Linked DNA regions of Notamacropus eugenii. The protein of the gene in region 2 interacts with the protein of the main gene of each other region in a pairwise test. Links are inferred from orthologs where the notes say so. Each region holds a gene or a part of one and is shown on either strand. Other genes may lie near its edges.

Evidence for each region. The genes of interacting proteins can lie anywhere in the genome.
Region 1: the proteins of SDCBP2 (region 2) and PRR13 interact in binary tests that used the Homo sapiens proteins (3 or more experiments, as listed by UniProt). The two-hybrid records come from large-scale screens. The link is inferred for Notamacropus eugenii from reciprocal best matches to the Homo sapiens genes SDCBP2 and PRR13.

What each region holds. Positions count from the first base shown.
Region 1 is NC_092874.1:226,459,431-226,469,470, reverse strand, and holds PRR13 (proline-rich protein 13), read right to left. Parts: upstream 6,451-10,040; 5' UTR 6,339-6,450; intron 5,931-6,338; 5' UTR 5,913-5,930; coding exon 5,894-5,912; intron 5,522-5,893; coding exon 5,136-5,521; intron 3,445-5,135; coding exon 3,400-3,444; 3' UTR 2,811-3,399; downstream 1-2,810. UniProt on the Homo sapiens protein: Negatively regulates TSP1 expression at the level of transcription. This down-regulation was shown to reduce taxane-induced apoptosis.
Region 2 is NC_092872.1:432,991,294-433,001,333, reverse strand, and holds the start of SDCBP2 (syntenin-2), read left to right. Parts: upstream 1-3,383; 5' UTR 3,384-3,470; intron 3,471-10,040.

The sequences.
Region 1 (10,040 bases), on a different chromosome or scaffold from region 2:
CCCTTTTCTCAGTCTAGGCCCAGTTCTGCCTTCTCTTCCATGAAGAATTCTCTGATCCCCTCAGGAGTGATGTCCCTCCAGCTCCCCAGCCCTGCCCCCCATGGTGCTCATGCCACCCCCCCACCCCCTTTGACCTCTCCTATGCAATTAATCAATCATTCTGCATTGTGTCTTGGTCTCTTCCTCCAATGAAATTTTAAGCTTCTGAAGGAATGACAGAATTCTAGAGTGCATCTTTGTAATATGCCTTATACTAGACTGGTGTTTAATAAAGTTGTGAAACTGAAATTCACCAAGTTTTTGTAAGATAATTAAATTCCTCCTAACCAATTTTACTTCCCATACGAACAAGATAAAGCTTCAATCTTGGACCTGAAGGGTAGCAGTGAGGGGAAAATATAGCGAAAAACAGCTCCTAGGACAGGGATGGAATGACAGATTTCCCACAAATGTTTACGGAGAAGTGGGGCTAAACTGAACAAATGAGTGATTTACCCAAGGCTCTCTTGCCAGGAGCAAAGCAAACTGAAAAGGGACATGTTCCCCACTGACCCAAAGCTAAACTGTCAGTTTACTCTTCAAGTCTCACAAAAAACCTTCCTAAACTTACCATTTTCCAACAGAGTAGAAATCTGAAAACAAAACACTTTCTTTGGTAGGGAGGGACCAAAGTCAGAGAAATCAGAAGCCTGAGGGAGAGTAGGTTGGTAGCATAATTAAAGCATTGGAGGACCACTGAAGGAGAACCAAGGCCCTCTGTTTATAGTTGGAAATACTGCAGTGCTGTCCCTAGTAGGGGAAAATCATCTTAGGGAACATGGAGAGACGAGGCAGGGAAAGGTAGTGGGGGGAGGGCAGCATCTCTGGATCTCATGTTTCTTTTAGACTTCTTTTATGTCCTTCTCCCCTACCATTCTCTCGTTTCTCTCCCTATACCACTTTCTCACATGACACACTGCTTAACTTCTCCCTCTGGCTCTGTTCCTCTCAATCTGGGCATTTCTCTCTGTATTTTCCATGTCCCTCTGTTACTGTGTCCATCTTGTCTCTTTTCCTTCTCTGGAAAGGAAGAGGTCTGCAGAGGAGGAAATGAGATCATAGTATATGTGAGAAAGGAAAACTATTAGAAAAGCAAAAAATAAATCCAGCCACAACACCTAAAAAGAGGGCTCAGGCCTTGGAAATCAAAATAAAGCCAAAAGGAAGCTACAGAACATAGGATTCCAACTGTGTCACAATTGGCCTTGGAATAAAGGAATATCTACGATGATCCGCCAGGATGCATCTTGTCTAAGCCCAGTTCTCTGTGATCCAGCAGACCCCAATTCTCACGCTACATTCCACTGATCTAACCTCTGTTCTGTGGGCTCAAAAATAACAAGGTTCTCGTCTTGTTGCTAAGATATCACCATATAACTAGTTCTCTCTCCCAGAAGGGCCTCATTCTGATACCGTTGCTCCCATCCATTCAACTGTTCCCCACAACAGAATATAGCCATGGGGACTATTTGGTTTGGGACCCACTCTAATTATTGTTGATAATCAATGTTGGTTGAACTTCACTGAATTAATCCAAACTTTCAATAAACAGTTATTCAGCACTTAATATATGAGAGATATTAGGCTAGAGGAAATGTAAGACAAGCTCCGTGAGGAGCTTACACTATAATAAGAAGGAAAAACCACAAAATATATAAGCCTATGCTACAGTGGAGAGAAAGTGAAGGAGGTATAGGTAATTTAAGATGGGAGAGATCACTTTACTGCTTCTCCTTCTGTACTGCCCCCCACCTCTGGTAAGTCAAAGGCTTCATGGTGACATCAGCTGAAGTCATAAGATCACAGACTTAGAAGTCCTCTAGGTGGCTTACTCCCTTGTTCAGTAACCTACAGTGCTCCCTTCCCCTACTTCCAATCCTCCTTCCCCCCCCTCCCCCCCCCCCCCCCCCCCCCGCCCCGGCCACACACACCCTGTTTCTCTATCTCAGCGAGGCAAACCTGCCCTTTCTGCTACAAACATTGCATCCTCTCTGAAACATGAGCCTTTATGTTGAGGTGTTCTCACCTGGGATGCCACCTTTCATCCTTCCACTTTGCATGTTTAATCCAGGACTTCTCTCCACCTGGAAGCCTTTCAAAATAGACATTCCATCCTCCTAAAGCCTTCTCTATCACATGATATATTAAGTTGTCCAGTAGTTCTCTTAGGTCTGTCCTTTTTTTGTCTGTTGCAGTGTCTGGGTCTGTATTCTGACCTTCTCATTAGCTTAGGAGGCCATCCAAGGACTGTAACTAGTTACTCCTCCCTTTGGCTCTACACCCTCAGACACCTAGGACACAACTTACTAGAAACACACCAGTTGTCTAGACGTACTCAGGCCTATTTCTCTACAGAGAGAACAGTACCAATTGATAGTTTTTCACACATTAAAGAAAAGTCAGTTTAAAGGGTCTGGCATCAACTAAAGCAGGGCTGGGTGTCTTCAACAAAGGGCAGATCAGATTTCCTCTTTTGGAACAAAAGAGCCCATTACCATATCCAACTGCACCCCTGGGTTTCCATTCTACAATACTTCTCCTTATTCCTCAAAAACAGCTTCATCAGCAAAGAGGGCTCAACTTAGCCTTGCATCAGTCCTGGAGGGGGAAGGTACTGCATGACTTTCCATTCAAGAAACAAACATGGTGAAAATAAGGTACCCTCCTCACTCATGCTCTGGTTTGTAGGCTGGGTTCTTACTTGTTTAAGAAAGGGGCAGTAAAAGCAATAGAACTTACTGAAAACAGCCCAAGTTACTGGCACAGATGAATGGAGACTGGGATAAACAGCTTTATTGGGAAGCACAGTGAGAGAAACAGAGTAAGATCTGAGAATGATTGGGATGGAAGGAGCTCACCAAGAAATGAGGTTCCAAAATGGCACCCACATTATCCTATTCAAAAGAACTCTCTTTCCCAGAAGGCAGTGGGCTTAGTAGACTGCACAGTCTGCTGGGAAATGTAGTTCCCACATTCCATCATCGTAAGACTACCATACCCAGACCAACTACCATGGTAATGCCACGTACCCTTTCTTCTCCTCCCACACAAATTACAAGATAAATTTTTAAAAATCACATTTTTTTCAAATCCTAAAATGTTCTTCAGCATTTGGCTCAAAGGGCATACATCTTCAGAAAGGAATGCCCCACAATGATTAAATCTAGAAGTTAAGAAAATGGATTTCCTCAGGCCAATAGTGATCCTTTCCTCAATTTCACCAGCCAATTTGGGCAAAGGGGTGAATGAGGTTGGACTGAGGTTGGGGCTGCAAGGCTATCTTCCCCCAGCACAATATGGCGTCCAAGGCTTGATGGGAGAAGCTGGGGTGGTGTGACTTGGGGGGAAGAGGGCCAGGATTCAGTCAGAGTCACTGCTGGAAGAGGAGGAGGAGGAAGAAGAATGCTGCAGGGGAATGGGAAAGTGGAGAGGACACATTATCAGACTTTGAACTCTGACCCCATGAAGTCCCACCCCATTCCCCATCTCTCTAATATGTACCCTCCCATACAAGGTGCACTTAAGACCAATAACCCACACATGGAATGTCACCGACAGACTGAAAATAAGTTTCTCCCCCTGGAATTAATGCCACAACAGTAGTTTAAACCAACCCACGTTGTTGCAGGGACTTTTCAATAATTTTGCTTGAAACAAGGTGTCTCAGTCAAAGGGTTTCATGAATGGGAAAACCTCTTTGAGGAAGGCATAGGAATTGGCAAATAAATGTTAATAACTGAAGCAATGAATAGCCCCCAGCACCTTCAGTACAGACAATCCACATAAATGAAAATGACCCCTACTCTTAAGTAACTTAGACCTAGGCAAAAGTACTGAGGGATAAAAATAAGACTCATTAAGTGCTTTGCAAGCTTTATGGTACTATAAAATTGTGAATTACTATCTAATCTGGTTTGCCTGCATGCACAGCAACTTTATCAGCAATGGTAAACATTTATTTTCCAACTGCTGCTCCTGAGTTGTCCTCCAATAGTTTCTACCTCTCCCTTTTTTGCAGCATCCCAGCTATCACTGGAATGAAGTGAATTTAGACATGCCCCATAACCATCACCTTCTACCCTTTCTCTTTCCTTGTCCCAGGTTGACTTAGGCTCTTTGTATAGTCATATGACCTGCTCAGTTCCATTCTAAGGAACACTGTACTTGAATGATCAGTGCCCCCAAGGTTAGAGATCAGAAATCCTGGATTCCCAGACTACTCTGGCCTGGCTCCCTGATGTCAGAATAGTCATTCAATTCTTTGAAGTCTCAATTTCCAAGGCCCATTATCGTTATCATGATGTGTCAATAAGGTTTTAAGGTACATAAAGTACTTCCCATTCTTTATCTCATTTGAGTTTCACAACACCATGGGGGAAGTGGAGTAGCTATTTTTAACCCCATTTTACAGATGAGGAAACAAAGGCTCAGAGAAGTTAAAGAACTTGCCCACAGCCACACAGCCAGTAAGGGACCAAGGCCAAGATTCAAATTCTGGTTTCTCTAAGCTCCAATTCTAGTTAGCTTTCTTTAGATTACACAAGAGGAGATAGGAGCCTAGCTCCAGGTGTTCAGTTACAGAGTCAAAGGACAAAATTAATTAACCCACTGGCTTGGTGGTCATAACCCCATCCAAGATTCCCAAGTCCTTTCATATGTATGTATATATCTATAGCTATGCCTCAGCATTCTGGGAGGGTATGGATCACTAATCCTGTTCAACTGGAAGCAATTAAACCCCAGAAATTCTGAGATATCTGCCAAAGATCCATAAACTTAAGTTTAGAGCTGAAAAGAAGGGATTTCAGTGAATATCTATACCAACCACTTTATTTTCCTCAAGAAATGGAGGTTTAAAGGGATGAAGGGACTGAGAGTTAGGGAAGTATTATGAGGCAGAATTTAACCCAGTTTCTATTTCTGGCTTGTAAGGCCAGCATGCTCTGTGTGTGTGTGTAGCTAGTCTACACCCACAGCATGGATGGATAGCAACAGAGAAGGCAAATCCAGACTGGCGTGGCCATCTAATTGTGTCCCTGAGACTCTGATGAAATGCTCCCCATCCCAACCCCAGCAGGGCTCCCAGAGAAACTGACCTTGCCATGTTTGTGATGTTTATGCGTTTTCTTATGAGCCTTCTTCATCTTCTTCCTCATCTTCTTATCCACCACTATACCTGGCCCCACTATCCCTGGGACCAAGGGATTCACAGAAGGCGCACAAGGGCCAGGAGGTGGGTAGGGACCTGGAGGTGGGTAGGGACCTGGGGGTGGGCAGCTTGGGTATCCTGGCTGATGCCCAGGGCCAAAAGCAGTGCCAGGAGGATAGGCTGGATTACCTGGGAAACACCCAGGTGGGGCAGGACAGGTACCTGGAGGGTATGCAGGATTGATTGATGGTGGGTTGATGGGGTTGGCAACCCCAGGGCACCCGGAAGTTGAAGGAGGTATAGGACCCCCAGGAGGGTACATCCCTGGCTGCCCTGGATGGGGAGAGAAGCACAGAATAAGATAGTGGCAGCAAGGTCTAGCTCCTCTTACAAGTGGAGGAGAAGGGACTGGTACCTCCTGTGCCCCCTCTTCCTTCAGGCAGTGGGGAGGTTAGGAAAAAGGGGGGCATATAGAGAGAAAAGGACAGCCAGCTCCGGTGGGAAGGAAGAGAAAATGAAATGAGCTCCAAAGAGGGAAGGCTTGGGTGTTGGGGGCAAAAGGAAAAAGAGAGGTCAAGTTTTTGCCTTAACTGGCAACTATGGGAGGGAAAAAATGGGCACAGGAAGACCACCCCTCCCCACCCCCGTGAGGCTCCTCTAAAAGAAGGATAGAAAGAGCGGGGGGTGTGTAAAGGGAGCACTCACCCGCACTGGGGTTCCACATGCTGCACTGTTCTGTTACCTGGAGGGGAACAAGGAACAAGGAAGAAAAAAGGCTGGCAGTCCGGAGGGGGCAGGGCGGGTGGCACAAGCCTCCTCCACTTCAGCGGTCCGGGGCGGATCCCCTGCCCCCCCAACTCCAGGGGCACCCTTCTCCGCTCACTTAGGGGCAGACGGGCTCCCTTCTCCCCTCCCCGGAGCTAGGCGGGGGGTTCCCCTTTCCTTGGGCGGGGAGAGGAGGGGCCCCAGGAGGGAGGGGGGTCTGCCTCCCGGCCAAGAGCCTCGGCGGGGAGGGGAAGGAGGGAGAAGGATCTCCAAGCGCCGAGAGAGACTCTCCCAGCCCGCCCTGCCCCGCTGGGAGGGAGGCCCGGCGGACGTGCCCCCCGCCCGGGGAAAGGAAGGGAAGGAGGAACCCCGAAGACCCCGTCACCTCGTCGCCTCCACCCGAGCCGGAGTTCTCCCTTCTCCTCCCCGCACCTCCCGGCGCCTGCTTCCTGGTCCCCACCTCCCCGGTGGCTCCGCCCCCTCCGCTGTCTGATTGGCCGCGGGGCCGAGCCCTCCCCTCGTCATTGCACAGACTGCCCGTCGATCTCCGGGGGGCGTGCCGGACCCGGGGAAACTGTCTCTGGACCGGGCCGTGTCCGCCCGAGCTCCGGGGCCTCGGGTGGGGTCTCTCTTCCTGGGGGCGGGGCCAGGGCCCCACCCGGCCCTAGTCCTGCCCATGCGCGCCGCCCTGCCCCCGAGCCCGGGCAGCGGGTGCCAAGGGCGTGGGGCGGGGGGCGCTGGTCTGGGATGCGAGACCTTGAGAGCCGAGGCCCCGCCTGGGCCGGGAACCTCGGGACTCCCGCCCGATGAAGGCACTAGTTGAGTGCTTGTTGTATGCCAGGCCTTGTGTCAAGCGCTTGGGGCGGGGCTGGTATACTTTGCCCCAGTCCGAGGGGGTTGGCAGAGTGCAAAGAGCCGCGCACATGCACGAAGTCAGCGGGCCCAACCGGGGACCCCGAGCCCCCGGCAAGGAGGCCGGGGAAGCCGGGCCGAGGTCCGGGAGGAAGAAGGCATTCCAGGCCTGGCCTGCCTGGCCCACAGGAGAGAAGTGACCGCGCTGGAGGGGAAAAGGGAGCTGGCACGCGGACCCCGCAGCACCCAAGGACCCCCTGGACCCCCTGCGAGCCGAAGACCCTCTTTTGGCCCTTCCCCCAGGAATGACAGTTTTTCCTTGTTTAAAACCATGGACTCATCCAACACCAAATAAAATGGACCTTCCCGATAACACGTCCCGAGACATCCCCTCCGAAAAGGAGAGGGTGGCGTGCCCATGGTCCTGGGCAGGTGTCACCGCAGAAATCCTGCCTGGCACTGGGGGTCTCCAGTATGCACCGCTTGCCTTTTCTTGTAAATATATGGTAAGTTCTCCTTGTAGCAACGCAAAAGGTAAAACGACTCCTCACCAAACTCCTTCCCTTAGAGGCGTGTTCCCCGGTAAGCTCCCGGGGAGCAGCGGGGTTCCTACTGACCTTTCCCAGGCCTGTCACTGGGCGCACATGGATGCTGGGTTTAGCAGCCTTCTGTGTGTGGGAAATAAACACTTGTAGAGTGCACGCCGGATGGTTTTGTTTACCCTCCCTTTTGTGGAGACCCTAGATATGAACCGAACCTATGTTGTACGTAAGTGGTCCCTGGAGCCCCCCAGTGTAATGAGCTGAAGGGTATGAGAAAGGAGGTCCCAGCCTTTCTCATTAGAAGTGGGACTCCTCCACTGGAGCCTGTACATAGAGCAGGTGAGCCCCACCTTCCACAAAGGGCCAGGGTCAAGTGTCCTAGTCTTTTGGGCCCAGCAGCGGTTCTGTCTTGCTCAAATAAAGTCATAGATTAGAACTGGAAGAGACCTTCGAAGCCATCTAAGGTGGCCTCTAATGTAATAATATACAACCCTCTATGGGATGATGATGTTTTAAGGTTTATAAAGCCCTTATTTGAGACTCACAATAACTCTAGGAGATTGAGATGCTATTTCTACCCCCATTTTACAGATGAGAAAAGTTCTTCTCCAGGGTCACACAGCCAGGATCTATGGTAAAATTTGAACTCGAATCTTCTTAGCTACAGATACAGTATAAGGTATTCTTATCCACTGTGTTACCTAGCTGCCTTCTCTGAATTTTACAGATAAGGAGACTAGAGATCAGGAGAGAGGGATGAGTACTGGATATGTAAATTTGGGCATCATTCTCAGAAAAGCGTAGGTCAAGCCCATGGGAGACAATGAAATTAAAAAGAAAAAGAAGGTAGAGAAGGAGGCCCAGGAGAGAGCCTTTGGGTATTCCCATACATAGAGAGTGGGGCATAAAGGGTGATTCTACAAAGGATACTGAGAAGGAGCAGCCAAAGAGGTAAGAGAAAAATAAGTTACCTTTGTCAAAAAAAAAAAAAGAATCCAAGTAGAAAAATGAATCCAGGAGGAGTAAATAATGTCATTTGGTGACAGAGAAGTCAAGAAGGATGAGAAGAGACAAAAACCTCAGATAAGGAGATCACTGGTGACTTTGGAGAGCATAATTTTAATTGAGTAGTATGTTTCAAAGCCAGATTACAGAGTGTTTCTAAGTAATTGGGAGATGAGAAAGTTGAGACAGAAAGTGTAGACAGCTTGTTTCTAGGAGTTTGGCTGTGAATAGGAGGAATGATAGAGGATGTTAGCTTGAGGATGTGGTTTTTTAAATTTAATTTAAATTTTTTTAAGGATTAGTGTGATCTGGGCTTACATATAAGCAGCAGGGAAGGAAACCAATAGTAAAGACAAATAGAACCTTTGGGAGATGGGAGAGATAATGGAAGGGGAAATCTACTGGCAGAAATGAGTAGGGATTGACTTAAGGCCTCTATTTCCTCTGAGACAGGAGGGAAGGGACAATAGGGTATGAAGTCCAGGTGATTCACAATTGCAATCAAAGGAAAGGGATTTTTATGACTCATGGCCTAGTTTTTTCAGTAGAAGTGTGAAGTGAGGTATGTAGTTAAAGAGTGAGAAGGCAGTGGAGTAGGTGGCTTGAAAAAAGATGAAGGCTGAAAGAAATACTGTGGGGAGTTTGATGAAGAGTCAATTAGGAAAGAGAAAACAGATTGGTGTGCCCTGGGGAGGCCCACTCGAGATTAGATGGCCTAAATTTGTAGTAGATCCATTCAATAGGATGATAGGACTTCCACTCAGTTCAGCAGCTCAGTTCAGAAGGGAGGAAAGTAAGACGAAAGTAGAAATAATGGCCTGGGAAATACAGGGTGGGAATAAGGGAGGTTGGAAAGCAGAAGGGTTGGAGTATCTGAAATTTGTCTTGAAGATGGAGACTGGGTTCAGGAAAGATAAGGCACAAGGAGAGATGGCCAGATAAGAAGTTATAATGACATAGAAGAATTTCAGAGTTATGCTTAGAGAAGGTATAATTCAACTTAATCTAATTCTTTTAAAAACTTTATTTTCAAATTTTTAATGTAAACTTTCCCCCCCGAAACATTTTTATACACATTACACCACATAGCACTTTCATAAACGCACGCACACACACACACACACACACACACACACACACACACACAGATTCTGTATGAAGCTGAATCACCATTTCATATGGTTTGTTTTTTAAACAATATATATGGTAATAAATTCCATGTTATTTTCAAAATTGTCTCACTTGCGTATGCTTTCTTCTGAACTATCTTCTTTGCATTAAAAAATGATATGATGGCCTCATTTTGGGGGGACATTACTATTGCTAACTCCTGTTTTCCCTATGCCCCCTAATTAACCAAGAGAAAAAAGGAGAAGCCTTGTAACAAGTAAGCATAGTCAAGCAAAAGAATTTTGTTCAGTGTCCATGTCCAAAAACGCATACCTTGTGTCCATCATCTCTCAAGTAAATTCAGTTATGCAAGCAATTATTATGTCACTAATCAATGCCAATTAATTATTAACTATAGTTAGAATTAATAATAGTGTTAATCATTAAATATTAATTAATTATTGAGTACTTACTATGAGTCATGGAACATTTATGACTGATGATTAAATCAAGTATGAGTATTCTGGTGTGTGATGGAGGTGAAGAGTATGGGAGGATTAAATCAGGGGATTTAAGGG
Region 2 (10,040 bases):
TGACTCCTCCTTAGATGTTCTTTCCATTATACCACGCTGCCCTGGGGATGAATTTGGCTGAAACTGGGTCATTATCAGTAGGTACTATGTGATCAGATATAGCTCAATTGTTTCTTTTAGAGATGAGTTTAGACTCAGTCATTTGGGAGTTTGCTCTGGTTGGAGGTTGAGTGGGATGCAAGGGACCGTGGGACATCAGATCTCCCTGGTTCTACTTCTGGCTTTGACTCTGACTCACTCCAGATTTTTAGGTTAAGTCCCAATAAAATCCCTGTGACTAAGCACAGAGGGTGTGAACATACTACCTGCACACTGATCATGGAACAGTGTAGGTAAAGGCTTTCTTGAGGAAGTGGCATTTAAACTGGGCCTTGAATGATGCATAGGACATCAACAATCAATCAGTCAATTAACAACAGAGTTGAAAAGAAAAGGTACATTCCAGAAATAGGGCATATTTGGGGTATGGCAAGAAACAGAATTTGTTGAGAGTATAGAATGTCTGAGGGGGAACATTGGGGCATATGGACTCAAAATAAAAATTAGATATATAATATATGTAAAAAAATATAACCATGTATTATATAAAAACATATAAATAACGTAATATACTTACATAATTATAAATATAACATAAATATAAAATTAATAATATAAATATTATGTAACATATAAATATAATGTGCAAAGTATATATTAGACACGTAAATATACATATATACATGTACATACATAAAAATACATACACATATACATAAAAATATAAAATCAGATTGAATGGCAGGCTAAGGCATTTTACTTGGCAGGCAACGAGTAGCCAATGAAATGTTCATTGAAGGCTCATGCTTTATCTTGTCTACTCTCAGGTTCTCTCCTACCCCTCCAGTGTAAGTGACTATGCCGTGCCTCCCTCAGTTACTCCAGACCTTGGGGATTTCTCTCCTCTGAGTTCCTACAGCCCTGACTGCCTGTGTCCCTCATTATTTACTGGAGCAGAGACTGCCTTGAATTATTATAACCTGTTTCAATGGAAAAGTCCTGGTCTAGCAAGGGGACACTTGGTTTCTAGGTCTACCTCTGTCACTAACTCACTCTAGGTAAGTCACTTCCCCCTCTCTGTCCATTTTCTCCTCCAAAAAACGAGGCGGTTGGACTAAGGCTTTATGACTCCACAGAGTATGTCATATTTCCTTACTAAGACTATAAGTTCTCTTCAACTTGAGTTTAGATAGGAGCAGGAATATATTTCCTCTTTCTCTTGTGTTCCCTATAAGACCCAATATAGGACTTTACACACATTTGGTACCCAATAAAGATTTACCATTACTTGACTGGGCAGTATAAAGCCAGGTTCAAGCCAAAAATCAATAACTGGCATCAGTCATATTCACCTGCTCACGGTCACATCCCCACAGTCATCACAAAGCAGAGATCAAAAATTTGGATAACTAGTCCTAACATCTTGTGTCTGCCTTGATCTTCTCACTGACACAACCAGACTCACTCAACAAACATTTATTTAGCACTTCGACTCAGAATACTGTGCCAGGAAATCGGGAGGTACAAAATTTAGATGAGATGAGACAAAGTCCTTCCTCTCACGGATTTTATCTGGGACATGATACATAGGACAGTGGGGATTGCATTGACCTGAGATAACTGAGGATAGAGGGCTTATTTATTAGATTAATTGAATGTTAGAACCAGAAGGAAATAGAAGCCCAGAGGAGGGAAGTTGCTTTGGCCAAATACATACAGAAAGTTTATAGTACAGTCAGAACCAGAAACCTGGTCTCCTGGCTCCCATCTCAGTGTCTTCTACTGCATTGCACTCTGCGTGTTCAAATAATAAAGATAGTTGTCTTAATTTTCCACTTTTGCTTATCAGAGGAGACCTCAACTAAGGGATAAGGCCAGGATTCTATGATATACAATTTAGAAATGAATCATTAATTAAACAGTAAGCATTTTTTATAATACCCACTGCTGCCAGGCACTGTGGTAACCCTGGAGATGAAATAATAAAAATGAGACAGTCCCTACCTTCTAAGACCTTTTATTCCATCAGGGAGATTATCTATCTATCTCTACACACATACACATACATATATAATATACACATGCTAAAACACATATACAATATTATACATTCCCATATATGTCTATATAAACATGTATGTATATAAGCCTATATATGCATGCACACACATATATGTGTGTGTGTATATATATATATTATACACAAGAGATGTATGTGTGTCTTTACAGCTCATAAATACAACATAATTTGTGGAGGAAGCAAAGACACTAACAGTCAAGCAGATCATGAAAGGCCTCACATAAGCTTTGAAGGAAGCTCGGTATTCTCAGAAGCAGAGGTGAGGAAATGAAGAGCCTAGAACAGCAGAGTTAAAGGGGCCTTTAGAACCTAAGCTACAGAGCATCAAAGTTGGGAAGAACCTTAAAGACCTTCTTCTAGTCCAATTTCTTCATTATGAAGGGGGTTCAACCTAGCTTATGTATGGCTTATATTTTTCTGTAATTATTTTGTGTCTAAGTTGTCAACTCCTCAACAAGAAGACAGGATGCTCATTAAGACAAGCTTCTCCTTCCCATGTCTGTCCCACAGTGTTAGGCCCCCAAGGAGGACTTTATCAAATACTTGTTGAATTAAAATTACTGATGTCCACACTCAATAGGACCTTCATGGTTCCTGAGGTATAAATTTCATCACCACAATGGTCACTTAGTTTTTGAATTGGCCAATGTCCTATGTGACAGGTAGCTCAGCTATTCATATCTAACATGGGCTTGTCCCTTCCTTACGTCAGCCAGCTAGTGATCCATCAATGGGTGTGCCCAGGTCCTTGAACTTTGACATTTCCAATGAAGTCCTATACCATGCTCTGAGTGAGTAAGACAGAAGTCAACATCATGAAGAGGAAAAGAGGGACATTTTACTGACCAAATTCCAGTTTGATCCATTCTAAATTCTGAGCTCTTGGAAAAGATGAGATCTCAAAACAAAATACAGAATACATACTGAGAGCTGGAAAGAACCTTAAAGATCTTTTATTCTATTTTATGATTTTACAGAGAAGGAAACTGATAAACAGAAGCTATGTCTTGCCCTAGACTACACAACTCAAAGCAATCCCATCTCCCCTTTGCCTATCCTGTACTCCAAGATTAGATCTAATCTCATTACACCCCTGAGAGTTAAAATTGGAACATCATTCAGAAAGTGATTTGACAACTAGCCTTTACCTGTGGCATCCAAGGGCCCCTCCCCAGAGCAAGTCATAAATCAGCTGTGGGTAGAGCCAGGCCAGCCCCTCCCAACTGAGGGCAAGCATCCAGGAGGAACTTCAGCTGGAAAAATAAAGCGTAGAGACTTCCTGAGAGGAGGACAGACCTTCCTGGGAACAGGAGAGCAGAGGAGTAGACTAGTGCCAGCCTCGAGTCTTCAGGTAAGCACCCTTAGGAAAACTCTGGTCATTTAAAGACCCACCAACAGCAAGTTGCTTAACTTTGACTGAAAGGGTGATTTGATGGCTGAAGAACCTTCCCTTTTTTTTCCTCCTCTTGGTCTCCTTTTCTTTTCTCCCTCCTCCTCTTTTTTTCCTCTTATCTGACTTCTTTCCTTTTTCTCTTCCCCTCTTTTGTCTCTCCTTCCCTTTCTCCCTTCTCCCATTCTCGTTCTTTCCTTTCTTAGTTTTCCCCTGATCTCCCTCTCCTTTCTCCCTCCCCTCTTTTTCTCCAGTTCTCCCTCTCCATCCTCCTTTTTTCTCCTCTCCCTCCTCCTCCTTCCTCTTTTCACTCAGCTTCCCCTTCTTTTCTCCTTTTTATATCTCCTGCTCTCCTTCCTCTATCTCTCCTTTTACTCATGCCCTTCCCCATTCCTCTTGCTGTCTCCCCATTTCCTTCTGCTCTCCCTCCCCCTTTTCCTATCTCCCCATTCCTCTTGCTCTCTTTCCTCCGCCCATTTCCTCTCCCTCCCCTGCCCCTTTCTTTTTGCTCTCTTTGCTGCCTCTCTCTCCCCTCCCCCTCTCTGGCATTATTTGATCAGGTCTCCTTAGGGTGCCCACAGCGCACCCCCTTCTCCCCGCGAAGGACAGAGCTGCGCTGTGGTCCTCTCTGCGAATTCTCCTCTGACCCATTGGTTCTTTTTCTTTTTTGTCTCTCCGCCTCCCACCATCCAGTACACTCAATCCTGCCTCAGTGCTCCCCTCCTGGGGGTGAGGATTCCGGAGGTAATGTAGTAAAGGGGCTCTGAATGGCAGCTAGCCAGCCTCCAGCGCCAGGATGAAATGTGAATCCTGGGGATTAAACATTAATAACGTGGTGAGAGTGGGCACTGATACCGTCTGTTTCTTCGCTGTGTTCTGCTTCCCTGGCTCCAGAACAGGGTACTTTGCCTTGAAGGCGTCGGGGCCAGGGGCCCCAGTGGAAGCAAAGGGCTGGCTGGAGCCAAGACCTCTTTCCATTAGCCCCAAATGGCCCGCGCTTCTCTGCCGGCACTCCGATGTCCTCTAATGGGTTTTCCTCTCTGCTAGAGCTGCTTGGAATCCACTGCCTCCACCCCCTCACCTCTCCAAAGGCCCAGAGCAGCCTGTTTCCTGTGGCTCCCCCTTGCCTGTGACGTTTCTCCCCGCTGTGTGAGAAGGCTCTATTTCATTTGAAAAAAAGAAAAGGATTCCCCGAAAGTCAAAGCTGGAGGCTCATGTAGCCCAGTCCCCCCCATTTTGCAGATGACAGCACTGAGGTTCAGAAAAAGGAAGGTCATCCAGAATCAGTGACATAATGAGGACCAGAAGCCAGGGTTCCTGACTCTGGCCAGGGATCTTTCCCCACCCTCATACAATCTGGAGCTATGGGCTTTTTTTTGATAATGGAATTTTTTTTGTTAACATTTTAATCAAGATGACGATAAACAAACCCTGGTGAGCTTTTTTTCCCTTTTTTTTTTTTCAAATCTCATTTCATTTTGAGAAACCAGTTGTTTCCTACCTAGGAATACCTCTGCCTCCGTCTCATTCTGTGTCTCTATTGTGCTACCCTCTACCCATATCTCTCTGTCTCTGTCTTTTTCCCATTCATGTGGTTTCAGGGATGATGATGAATACACACATGACCTTGTCACAACTTCTCCTATAACTCTCCATTTAATTAGGCTTCTTCTGACATCCCCATCCCCCTTCCATAGCCAACACCTTAGCCAGTAAAAATGACCAGAGTAGGAGATGAAGGACAGCAAGGTGGCTCTGTGGATAGAGCACTGGACCTGGAGTCAAGAAGAGCTGAATTCAATTTTGGCCTTAGACATTTACTAGCTTTGTGACGGGGGGCAACTCACTTAACTCTATTTACCTCAGTTTTCTCATCTGTAAAATGAGCTAGAGATGGAAATGGAAAACCACTTTGCCAAAAAAAACCCAAATGGGGTCACAGAGAGTCAGACATGACTGAAACAAAAACAATCTAGACTGAGTCAACAGGGAGATGAAGTTTCCGGTTAGAAGAATAACAAGGAAGCCAGTGTTGCTGGATCTCAGAGTATGTGGGAAGGTAAGGTGTAAGGTATAAGTCTTCTGGAAAGGTTGGGGGAGAGGAGACTAGTTGTGAAAGGCTTTGAACACCAAACAGAATTTTACAGTTGATCTTGGAGATGATAGGGAGCCATTGAAGGATATCGCGTAACAGGGTGACCTGGTAATCTGGTTAGACCTGCAGTTTGGGAAGATCTCTTTGACAGCTGAGTAGGGAGAGACTTGTGGAAGGGAAATCAGCCATAAGCCTTCTTCAATAATCCGGGTGTGTGGTGAGGAGGGCCAGCACCAGGCTGGGGGCAGTGTCAGAGGAAAGAAGGGGGCATTGAGAGAGAACTGTTGCCATGGCAACAGATTGGATATGGAGTTGGGGGGATAGGAAATGAGAGAGAAAGAGAGTTCAAAGAGAAGTGAATTAGAGGGCCCAATCTGCAAGTAGCTTTTATATCTGAGGGATTTGGGAATTCTAGATTCCAAGGATATTAGAATCTCTGCTATGAATTTTACTATGAGCAAGGTCCTTCCTGTTTCAGACTTTTGAATAGATGATCTGAGGGCCTTCCAGCTTCGAATTCAGGAGTACATTGTGGAGACTCTTTAAAGGAATTTTTTTTCAGTCATACCAACATTTCCTCCAAGCTCCAACCTTCCTGAATGCTCCCACCTCTCCCAGCCCCTGAATGGTATTCAAAGCAGCTACTGTGTGCTAAATTCCTTGGTTTTACTTAACCTCAAAGGACCCAGTAGCTCGGTATCTCTGGGAAATGCCTTTCATTAGCAGGTGCTTATAGAGGGTGTGGTAGAAAGAGCTCTGGACTGGCAGTCAGGAGTCACTAATTTGCTGGCTGACTTTGGGCAAAACTCTAGGCCTCAGTTTCCTCCTTGGTAAAACGGCTAGGATGAACTAGCTGCACTCTAAGGCCCCTCCCATCTCTGACAAGCTGAATCTTTATGCTATGCCTTTACTTCTGCTGAATCTACACGTAGCAGGCACTCTGTGAATGTTCTCTGTTTCTAGGACCTGGAGCTCTGAAGAAGGAATTCCTGAATTCCATTGACTGGCTGCAAGCCAAAGCTGCAAAGGGCCCTTAGAACATTAGATCTCAGAACTGAATATCCGAGGTGGAAGAGGCCTAATCACTTGAATAGTCAGAGTCTGAAGGGACCAGCTAGTCTAACTCCCTCTTCCCTGGAAGAGGAAACTCAGGTCCAGAGATGGGGAATGCTGAGTCCAAGGTTGTATAGTGAGTGGTTAGTGTATTTCCTCCACATATACACATTCTATTCAGTGAGTGCAGGAACTGGGAGCCCAGTAAGGAGGGGAGATTCCTGAGCCCACTGTGACTTCTCCTTAGGTAGTGGGAATAGGACTTCTGAGTCTTGGTGGTCTTCCTAGCTGTGGCTTCCAAAGAGGTTAGGGTTAGGCATGAAGTTACCACACTTATGAGCGTGCCATGGGGACTGGTGGGATTGGAAATTTGATTTCAGTCTCTTTAAGACTGGCTGTGTCCCTGGGTCTTGCTGAAAGATGCTAACCTTTTCTTCTCTTACTGCTGCTTTTTTAACCGACTTCCTTCACTTTGAGGGCTTGGAAGTTCTAGAGGAGAGGCCAGAGTCTGCATTCAGGTTCCCATAATAGAGGGAATTCTGAAGAGGGGAAAGTGGTAGGCTCCCCTTTCATCTTATTCAGCCATCTCAGCCTGCCTGTACCTACCTACACTGGGCTGGGCTGGGAGGTACCTGGAATAGTCAGTCTCCCTCTGGATTCTGACCATCTGATCCTGGTCCTTGCTTTCCACAGAGAAGGGGAATGTGTTTGAATCTCCTTCCTAGGATAGACTAGCCTCACCCTTCCTGACCTCATGGCCCAGTGATCTCATCTTTTAAAGCCCTCCTACACTCAGCATAGACCTAAATTCTGCCCTGGATCTGCAAAACTCCACTTTATATGGTGACCTACCTTAGAAATGAGAACTCTCTCAGCCCCCATCACTGCTATAGTGCCCATACCCCTTGCTGGCAGGTTAGCTCTGAGGCCTTATCTCTCTCTAGAAAACTTCAAAGACAAGAGAGGCATGTCTAGGCCTGGGGCAAGTACCTTGCAAGACCCCTTAATAGGGGCTTAGGAGACAAAACCAGATCCTCTCCCTACTCTGAAGGAGCTTACTTTCTACATTGTTGGGTAATATGATTTACACAGACAAGGACTGGATTGGGATTCAATCTATACAGCTAAGGACTGTGGAGGGTAAAGAGGAGATTCAGACTGCTGTAGGAAAATAGGAGGAAGAGAACAGTAAAGCCTGGGTGTGTCAAGGAAGACTTTACTGGGAAAGTGCCAACCAATCTGTCAACATCATGACATCAGGCAGCCAAAAAAAATCGAACACAGTTTTAGTTGGCAACAAAAGAGGGCCACTGTCCAAGGCTAGGGGACAGACAGTCCCACTTTACTCTGCCTTAGCCATAGGAGCTTACACTGAGAGCTGGAAAAGGTATTAGGGACTGCCTAATCTGATGTCATTTTGCAAATGGGGAAACTGAGGCACAAAGAGGTTAAATGTCTTGCTTAAGATCACACAGGTAGTAAGGGGATTCCTTCCTTCCTTCCTTCCTTCCTTCCTTCCTTCCTTCCTTCCTTCCTTCCTTCCTTCCTTCCTTCCTTCCTTCCTTTCTTCCTTCCTTCCTTCCTTTCTTTCTTCCATACATTCTCTGCTCTAGTCAAAATGGCCTGCTAGCTGTTCCCTGTATATCACCCACCTAGATTCATTCAGAGCACCACTTGAGTACCACTTCCTATATTTTCTCCATCTTTAAGTCATTGTATATTACTTTGTTTATACTTTATTTATTTTTATGTATCCTCATACATGCTGTATTCTTTCCCCTTCCCCCACCTCAGTAGAATGTAAGCTTGTTGAGGGCAGGAAGTAACTTCATTTTCATGTCTTTGTATCCCCATCACCGGGCACATCATCTTGCACAAAATAAATTCTTCATACCAATTAGTCAGACTGAAGTAAATTGAAGGAGAACTCTGGCTTCTAGTATGTAAAAGGCATCATGAGGAAGAATAGATATACTTCTTATCCAGAGGGCAGAACCAGAAGCAATGGGCAGCGGGCATAAAGACACAAACTTAGACTTGATTGGGGAACTTCTTAACATTCAAGCTGTTTCAAGAGGCAAAGGGTCACCTAAGAGGGGAGGAGGGGGGCTTCTCCACACTGGAGATCTTTATGCAAAGGCTAGGAAGGAAGGATGGAAACCAGTGTTTATTAAGTACTAAGATGTGACCGGCTCTGCACTAAGCTCTTTACAAATGTAAATCATTTGATCTTGGCCAGTCATCCTGATAGGTATCTGGCCCCTGGCTCCAGATGGCTCCTGAGGAGAAAGTGAGGCTGGTGACTTTGCATAGCCCTCCCTCCCTCACTTAAATCCAGTTCACTGGCAAGTCAAGACATCACCTCCCTGATGTCATGGTCCTCTTCAAGAATAAAGGGCAAACGACAGCAACGACATTTGATCCTCACAACGGCCATTAGAGTTGGGAGCCATTATTTATTATCTTCATTTTACAGATGAGGAAAGCGAGGCAAACAAAGGTTGTCAGTCAATAAACATTTATTAAGTGCCTGCTGTATGCTAGGCACCCTGCTAAATTCTGGGGATTTAAAAAAAAGAGGCAAAAGACAGTCTCTACCCTCAAGGAACTCACAGTCTAATGGACAATGATGTACAAACAAGCTATAGGCAGGATATGTAGGAAACAAAAGATGGGAGGCATTATAATTAAGGACTGGGAAAGGATTCCTGTAAAAGATGGGATTTTAGGGAAACTTAAAGAAAGCCAGGGAAGGCAGTAGATAGAGATGAGGAGGGAGAATATTTCAGGAATGAGGATAAATGGCATTGTAGAGGGAATTCTTGTTCAGTCCCGGAGTGGGCTAGATGTCCTTGGCAGTCCTTTCCCACTCTGAGAGGCTGCACCTTATTCTCTGGATTTCCTCAATAGCACCAAGCCCTCTGGACCCTGTATGTGTAGTAGGACAGAGGAGAGGGAATAGACCTTTGTATGTAGGGAATTCTCAGATAAGTGAGCTTTCTACTAACGTAGGTCAGTACCTGCTCTGTAACATATATTCATAAAGAGTTGTTTATAGACAACGAGAGGTCAAGGGACTTGACCCGAAACATTGGCTCTTATCTAGTCATGTTCAACTCTTCGTGACCCTGTTGACCAAGTGTCCATGGATTTTTCTTAGCAAAGATACTAGAGTGATTTGCCATGGCCTTCTTCAGTTTTATGCAGGAAACCAAAGTGACTTGCCCAGGGTCACTAGTAAGTGTCTGAGATAAAATGTGAACTCTGGTCTTTCTGACTCCAGGTCCAGTACTCTGTCCATGAGCCACCTAACTGTCCCATATTCTTCTAATACTTGACAGTTTATAAGGCCCTTTGCTCTAGTAATTTGACAGTTTACAAGG